Zea mays: one gene and its partner. The protein of the gene in region 2 interacts with the protein of the main gene of each other region in a pairwise test. Links are inferred from orthologs where the notes say so. Each region holds a gene or a part of one and is shown on either strand. Other genes may lie near its edges.

Evidence for each region. The genes of interacting proteins can lie anywhere in the genome.
Region 1: the proteins of [Fructose-bisphosphate aldolase]-lysine N-methyltransferase, chloroplastic-like (region 2) and Homeobox-leucine zipper protein HOX19 interact in binary tests that used the Arabidopsis thaliana proteins (3 or more experiments, as listed by UniProt). The link is inferred for Zea mays from reciprocal best matches to the Arabidopsis thaliana genes LSMT-L and HAT22.

The regions. Positions count from the first base shown.
Region 1 is NC_050096.1:29,552,005-29,555,959, forward strand, and holds Homeobox-leucine zipper protein HOX19, read right to left. Parts: upstream 2,591-3,955; 5' UTR 2,409-2,590; coding exon 1,971-2,408; intron 1,541-1,970; coding exon 1,461-1,540; intron 1,240-1,460; coding exon of another isoform or gene 1,228-1,239; coding exon 867-1,227; coding exon of another isoform or gene 796-866; 3' UTR 520-795; downstream 1-519.
Region 2 is NC_050102.1:115,535,645-115,539,615, reverse strand, and holds [Fructose-bisphosphate aldolase]-lysine N-methyltransferase, chloroplastic-like, read left to right. Parts: upstream 1-1,207; 5' UTR 1,208-1,251; coding exon 1,252-1,742; intron 1,743-1,846; coding exon 1,847-1,875; intron 1,876-1,959; coding exon 1,960-2,171; intron 2,172-2,360; coding exon 2,361-2,483; intron 2,484-2,626; coding exon 2,627-3,031; intron 3,032-3,121; coding exon 3,122-3,331; 3' UTR 3,332-3,407; downstream 3,408-3,971. UniProt on the Arabidopsis thaliana protein: Protein-lysine methyltransferase methylating chloroplastic fructose 1,6-bisphosphate aldolases. Can also use with low efficiency gamma-tocopherol methyltransferase as substrate, but not a cytosolic aldolase.

The sequences.
Region 1 (3,955 bases), on a different chromosome or scaffold from region 2:
ATCATTAGACTGCTGAAACTGAAAGTTCGTCCGTGGCCGGGCAGCCATGCATATACGGTGCAGAGAACTGATGGCTTGTGCGCCAGCGAGGGGTGGGCATGCTCAAGACAAGAGCGGGCTGCCGCGCTCGCGCTCCCAATAATTAAAACGAGCAAAAGCGACAGCAATTTGGAGAGTCGAGAGCCCCGGCACGCACAATCATTGAGCCGTATATATGTACTATAAAAAAGGGTGTGCGTGTGTACACACCACGTACACCTGCAGAAAGGTCCAAGAGCCACGCAGCTGGGCTTCTCTACCTGTCTCTCATGTCATCATCCATTCCAGCACTGTGGTGCTCTGACGTACGCACGCACGCTTATCAGTACGAAGACTAGCTAGAAGCATCTCAATCCAATAATCGGTGTACAGGGATATCAATCCCTGACACTACACCCTCGGACGACGGCGATTATATTAACCTGTCTCAAACAGAAACAGAAACAAAAAACCAAAAACAAAAAGGCAAAGGAGCTACGTACTCCAATCGAAAAGGGAGCAAGTAGACCGCGAGAGAGGGACAGAATTACAACAGAAATATACATGGATGGGGGGGGGGGGGGGGGGGGGCGGAGGGAGTGCTAGGAAAGCTACGGCTATTTTTTTCGACTACTCTATCAAGCCTATGATTGATGGATTAGCTGATGCATTTGGGATCGACACGAAAACAACTAACTTAGCCCTCCGGATCAAGAAAATAGATAGAGAGGAGGACCATACGTTTGTTAATTACTTGTGACACGTACAGACGTGGTATTATCTGCACGGGGCGGTGCTCTGTTTACTGCCGCTGCGTTGCGTGGCTGCGTGCTGCCCTGCCCTCATCATCAGCAGGCGGCGGAGTGGGTGAAGGGGTTGAAGAAGTGGTGGGTGGCGGCTGCCTTGGGCCTGGGCTCGGCCTTGGCGGCGGCGCCGGGCCCGGCCAGGCGGTCGCAGGACGGGCACAGGCTCAGCGTGGCGGCGGCCGGCATCTGCATCTGCATGTACAACGGCGGCGGCGGCGCCGGAACGACGCCCGCCGCCGCGCCGGCCTGCGTCGCGGACGACGGCGGCGCCTGTGGGTGTGGGGCGAACTTGAGCGCGCGGAGCTCCTGCAGCTCCCGCTGCAGCCGCCGGTTCTCCTCCGTCAGCGACTCGCAGCAGCGCTTCAGCAGCTCGCAGTCCACCTCCGTCTGCTTCAGCTTCGTCCTGCGCGCGCGGCTAAACCACGTTAATATGTCGATCAGCCGTCAGAGCTTAATTAGTCCTAAACAAAACCCAAGCATAGCAATTAGCATGCATGTCGTATCTGCTTCTGTGGGCTCGCTGCTGGTTTATTATTTGCGTGTGCATGCATGGCAATATTATTGAAAAAAAAACGACAACAACGCCTTCGGATGCCATGGGCCGGTGTCCGTGCGTGTCGCCTGGTTAATACTAACCTTGCTCGCCTGTTTTGGAACCACACCTCCACCTGCCGTGGCCTCAGCTTCAGTTGCTTCGCCAACGCGACTTTCTGCTTCTGCTCGCTCCAAGCCAAAAGGACACCCCAACAGAAAGCAAAAGGAGGACGTTCAGAAACACAACTCGTCTCGAATTCTCGTTCTCGATAGGGGTGGAAAAACGATGAATAATATCTGTACTTATTTTGAGGCATATTAAAATACAAATATATGTGGGGGGGGGGGGGGGGGGGGGGGGAAAGAGATAACGAGTACCATATACTGTACAATATATATGTGTGTGGCTGTAGTAATAATCAGCCATGTACGCAGCCAGTGTCGACTAGTAATTCATCGAGGTGTAGTACTAGGCAAGGCAAGTGCAGCCGGAGCCGCAGCCGTTTTGTGGTGCTGGTGCGTAGCAAGCAGCGAAGCAACCAGTCATCAATCGATCGGAGTCAGTGAGTCACGCCCAACGTGTCGCGCACGCAGGGGTACAGTACTACGTACCGGGTTCAGGGTGCTGTGCTCCTTGAAGCGGTCCTCCAGGAGCGCGGACTGCTCCTTGGTCAGCCTCAGCTTCTTCCGCGTGCTCCCGTCGTCGTCGTCGTCCTCGGCGCCGGCGCAGGCCCGCGGCAACGCGGCCGTAGACGACGCCCGCTCTCCCTCGGCGTCATCCACGCGCTCCCTCTTCACGCCCGCCACTGACAGCGACGACACGCTGTGCGCGGCCCCGCCCCCGCCGGACCCGGTCGCGGTCGCTTCGTCCGGCAAGCTCAGCGTCAGCGACGGCTCCAGCGGGTGCGGCGACGGCAGCCGCACCTCCCTGCTCAGCCGGCGGCTGATACCACCGTGGCGCGCCGCACCAGAGGCGCCGCCGCTGCCGCTGCCGAGGGACAGGCCCAGCGCGAGGCCTGCGTCGTCCAGGTGCACGTCCTCCTGAGCCATGGCGCGTGCGCGCTCAGGATCAGAAGAGTAGCTAGCTATGTGGCCGCCACTTCAGTTAGTTAGAGCTCGGTTTCTCTCTCTGACGGCCGGCAGGGCAGCCAAAAGGCTGGGTGTGTGCGTGTGCGTGTGCGTGCTGGGGAGGAAGAAGCCAGGAAGGCGAGCGAGGGGAAGGAAGGAAGGAATGAAATGGTTGAGGAGGAAATGAGGAGGGCAGGCGAGAATATTTGAGGAGGAGCGGAGCCGGCAACGGACAAGCGCGCGGATGCACGCGCACATCACGTGCACGTACGTACGCGAGCCCACGCTTTGACACTTGCTGCACAGGAGAGTTTAAATGTAAACGGAAGAGTAAACCGCAAGCAGGCTGTTTTCGGTGACACCGTCGTCCATGCACCAGTATTTATTGTAGCGTTCATTGAATTTATCTTTAAGATCTTTATATTGATTAACTAGAATATTTAATTTATTTAAATATGAAGGAAGCATGTCACTTATTTCTCTAACTAGGTAGGTGCCCGTGCGATGCCACGAAACATAAATTGCGAGCCTCCAATGGACTTAGAGCCCTGGCAACGGGCGGCGTGAATACAATGCTGAGTGCCCGTGCGTTGCGACGGAAGTAAAAAATTTGTATGAAATATATAAACGGAACGACAAATATCACTATGATATGTAAAATCCATGTGGTGATTCCTCTCAGTGACTGTAAGATTATTATATACATGACTGGAGATATTTAGTCTTCAAACTGTCCAGAGCAACCGCATGGTGGTTCCATGTCCCTGAACCAGCACACTACACAGACTGTGGAATCATAACCCCCTCTTTTTCTGGTGCTACTAAGCCGTTATTTGTCAAACTGAAGATTGAATTCCAATGATACCTACAAATTATTCACATCCAGATGTATTTGTAAGTGTTATTGATCATATGACTTAGTAAAACAATTAAATATTTTGATAGATCACTGGGTCTTTTGCTAGTCGAATGTTCTGTAGACATGAGAATTGGATCAACTAAAACTATCAACTGGGCACAATTCCAATTGACTCGACCAACCTGCGGCGGCTTCGGGAGGCCGCCACACTCTATCATATCCTCACCAGTGGTACTTAACGCGTCGGCAGCATAGCTAGAAAGGCTAATCTGACGTTTTGTTGTACAATAATTTAGTCTAAGAAGGTTTTCATGTAACTGGAGTTGGTTTGTCGAAAACCTTCCTAGGTAACCAGGATCTTCTAAGTTCTGTTGCTGCAGTTGGTTTGTGATTGTTTTGTGTGGTAGGTGTGAGAATCATCGGCTTGATGTATTGGATTAGACATAAGAGTGAAGTCGCTGAGTTAACCCCAAACCTTAAACGTCCTCACATGTCTTGGATTAACTGCCTTTTATGTTCTAACAAATCATCAGCTCTTGTTAGTATCACATACCAGTACCAAACAGAAAAACGAGTGAAAATGTCACCCAGTATCATCCTATTCATGAACTTACATAAATGGATTTTCTGAAATAGTTTTTTTTTTGTGTAATATATAAATCTCAAATTG
Region 2 (3,971 bases):
AGGGGACCTGGTGTGGAAGACCATCCTGCCTCTAAGGAATAAAGACCGGAAGTTTGGAAAATGGTCGCCAAGCTGGGAGGGTCCTTATAAAGTAAACATGTAATATTTGGTAACGCCTATTTACTATAAATATTACAAGGCAAGGATTTACCCAAAGCTTTGAATGGACGTTTTCTCAAGCAGTACCATCCTAGTATGTGGCAAGATGCTTAAGAAAATCGATGTGATCACATCGAGTTAAGATGCTTTTGGTTTGCCCATCTCCACCAAAAGGCAGGGGGCATATGTTTGGCACCAAAATGAGCGTGCGGACGGTCCGGCCCTGAGGCCGGACAGTCCGCGCCTGTGGGCCGGACGGTCCGCGCGTGCGCAGAGCAGATTAGGGTTCCGAGTTTTGTGCTACGGTTGTTAGCTAGATTCGCAGAATTAGCTCGGAAATCAGTTGTGTAAAGGGTCCAGCCCCCTCCTGTATAAATAGAGAGGTATACGGCCGATTTGTAATCAGCAATCGAATCAAAACACTTCTATTTCGCATTTATTTCCTATGAGTAGTTATAGTCTAGTTCTAGTTTAGCCTTCCGATCCCCAAATTCTTCGCCTCTACGTGGATTAGAGGAGTCTAGGTCGGCCTGCCCGAGCCTAGATAACTCCTAGGATCTCTCCTCCCCGACGGGGTCTCTCCCGGGAGCGAGATCCAGGCGTCGCCGGCGATCTTCCGCCGCCCGGACCGTCTGGCCGTCAGGCAGTAAGCCCTAGCCCCTGCGCCAGGTCGCGGACGGTCCGGCCCCTCGTCGTGGACCGTCCGCGTCTGACCAGAGAGCACCGTCACGGTTCTTGTTGAGTGTTTGGCGCTCCAAAAAAGCGTCAACAATTTCTTAAAAATATATACTACAGTTGGAGAAGTTCATCTTGAGCTAAAAGCTGTAATTCTGATCGGACGGAGTATCTGAATTGTGTAATTTCGTTGAACGACCCATCTCATATGTGTTCTACAAGGAGCCGATCATCATCTGCCTATGACTTATGAGCGGTCGTGAATCATTTTTGAGATAATTCGTGGAACATCTACAGGATAATTAACCTCCTGTTTCCTAGAGGGAAAACACCTATTGGCACGGACTCGGTCGGCATTTCACCGCTGATCATATCCACTCCCGCCATAATAACTACTTATGGATATGGAAACCAACGGCCGTCGTCGTCCAAACCACTACCTCCGTCGCAGGCGCAGGCCGCGCAGTGCAGGGAATCATGGCCACGCTCTACCAGCACCACCTCCTCCCCCTGCAGCGTCTCCCCAACTCCCCCCGCCGACCGCCTCCTCGCCTCCGCCTCCCCACGAAGCCATCGAGGCACCACAATCGGCAGCTACGACCCCGCGCGGCAGCCAGCACAACGGCCACAGTGTCTGCGATGGAGGACTTCCGCCGGTGGCTCGCCTCTCATGGCGCGGGCGATGGAGGAAAAGCCATTCCAGCCGCCGTGCCGGAGGGTCTCGGCCTCGTGGCGGCGCGCGATCTGCCCCGCGGGGAGGTGGTCGCGGAGGTGCCTAAGAAGCTCTGGATGGACGCCGACGCCGTCGCGGCCTCCGACATCGGCCGCGCCTGCGGCGGCGGAGGGGGCCTCCGGCCCTGGGTCGCCGTCGCGCTGCTGCTCCTCAGTGAGGTCGCGCGCGGGGCGGACTCGCCGTGGGCGCCCTACCTGGCCATCCTCCCGCGCCAGACCGACTCCACCATCTTCTGGTGAGTGAGAGGACGCCGATCGCTCCATTTGTGTTTGGCTGCTTCTGCAGTTCTGCGCTATTCTCGTTCTGATGTTTGAGTGGCGCTTGGTGCCTCCAGTGCAGGTCTGAAGAAGAGCTCCTAGAGATACAAGGTCAGTGTGCAATGCAAAAGTTCTTGCCAGTTGTTGTGTGCTGGGATCTCTCGGTAACTTTTATGCTACTTCTGTCACTTGCAGGAACACAGTTGCTAAGCACCACAGTGGGCGTGAAAGAGTATGTGCAAAGCGAATTTGATAGTGTTCAAGCAGAGATCATAAGCACAAATAAGGACCTGTTCCCAGGTAGCATAACATTTGATGATTTCCTATGGGCATTTGGAATGCTCAGATCAAGGGTGTTTCCAGAGCTCCGCGGAGATAAGCTTGCTCTCATACCATTTGCTGATTTGGTAATATGCAATACATATTGGCGTTTTCCAGATTCTAATCCCACTTGCTACGATTCTTCTTATTGTTGTTAAATGGTCCTAGTTGTAATTTCCATGCTTAAGGTACCATGTCAAAAGGATTCAAATAAGGCATTATTTGAATGTTGGAAATGCATTCTTTAAAATTATTTTGCTTGCTTCGCAAATCAGGTTAATCACAGTCCTAATATCACCTCAGAAGGGTCAAGTTGGGAGATCAAAGGAAAGGGTCTTTTTGGTAGGGAACTCATGTTCTCCTTGCGAACACCAGTGAATGTTAAATCTGGACAGCAGGTACAGATGATGTTCCATTTTTCTGCACTAGGTGCACTGTTTTCATGGCTTTCAGCATCTATATGCAATAGTGGATGCTTCAAGTTCAAGTGACAAGCTAAAACGTGCAATTTGTAACTGAGCACTGAGATTTGCATTTACAGATATATATCCAGTACGATCTGGACAAGAGTAATGCTGAACTGGCACTAGACTATGGGTTTGTGGAATCAAATCCATCAAGGGATTCGTTTACTGTGACCCTGGAAATCTCTGAATCTGATCCATTTTATGGAGACAAGCTTGACATTGCAGAGGCAAACGGACTGGGGGAAACCGCATACTTTGATGTAATCCTCAACGAACCCCTTCCCCCTCAAATGCTCCCTTACCTGCGATTACTTTGCATTGGTGGAACAGATGCATTTCTCTTGGAAGCACTCTTTAGGAATTCAGTTTGGGGCCACCTTGAACTGCCATTGAGTCCTGACAATGAGGAATCAATATGTCAGGCCATGCGAGATGCCTGCAAATCAGCCCTTGCTGACTATCATACCACAATAGAAGAGGTTTACCAATTGATTAGATGTAGCTATTCTTTTCCTTCATCTTTTTTATCTTAATTAATTAATCTTATGAAACATGTGTGGAATATTCAGGATGAAGAACTATCGGGAAGAGAGAATTTGCAGCCAAGACTTGCAATTGCAATTGGAGTAAGGGCCGGTGAAAAGAAAGTACTCCAGCACATTGATGGTATTTTTAAACAGAGGGAGGAGGAATTAGATGGCCTTGAGTACTACCAGGAAAGAAGACTCAAAGATCTTGGTTTAGTCAGTGACAATGGTGAAATTATTTTTTGGGAGTAGTAGATATTTGTTTCTAGTATAGTAGTGCTATTTGTCCATAATGCTAATGAAAGGAATGCATTCTGGCACTGTTAACAAGAAATGCATGGTAAATGTCATGCACACTTCTGTGACATAATCACATAGCAGGTAAAAATGGGCAAAATAAATCATCACCCACATTTAAAAGAATACATGATCATCACTGATAGTCGTATCAGGTGAACAGTTAAATTGACATTCACCTAACTATAGATTGGACGTCCTCTCTAGTGCATATGCCAATTGCCAACAGACTTAAACCTGTAAAATATCTATAAGGCCTTTTTTATTGCGCATGGGTTGGCTAGGGATATTTTTAGTTCAATTCTCTGGCAATCCCTCTCAATCCACATCAGAACCAGAAAGGCCACAGTAAATCTCTGCAAGTGCAGCATATGTTGCATACTTGCTTCCACATGTACATTCTTCCAGGTGCGTTTGCAGATGGGCTTGTGCACATGTCATTTGCAATGGTTTACATTCAACCCTCATCACAGCCATCTATCTGCTCCAGTTCCTGTTAATCAGCGTTGTTGCTGATCATATTACAGTACTCGTTTTGTTCAGAGCCCGTACCACAAAATGGCGGCAATTAAAAATCAAATCCAATGGCTTCAAA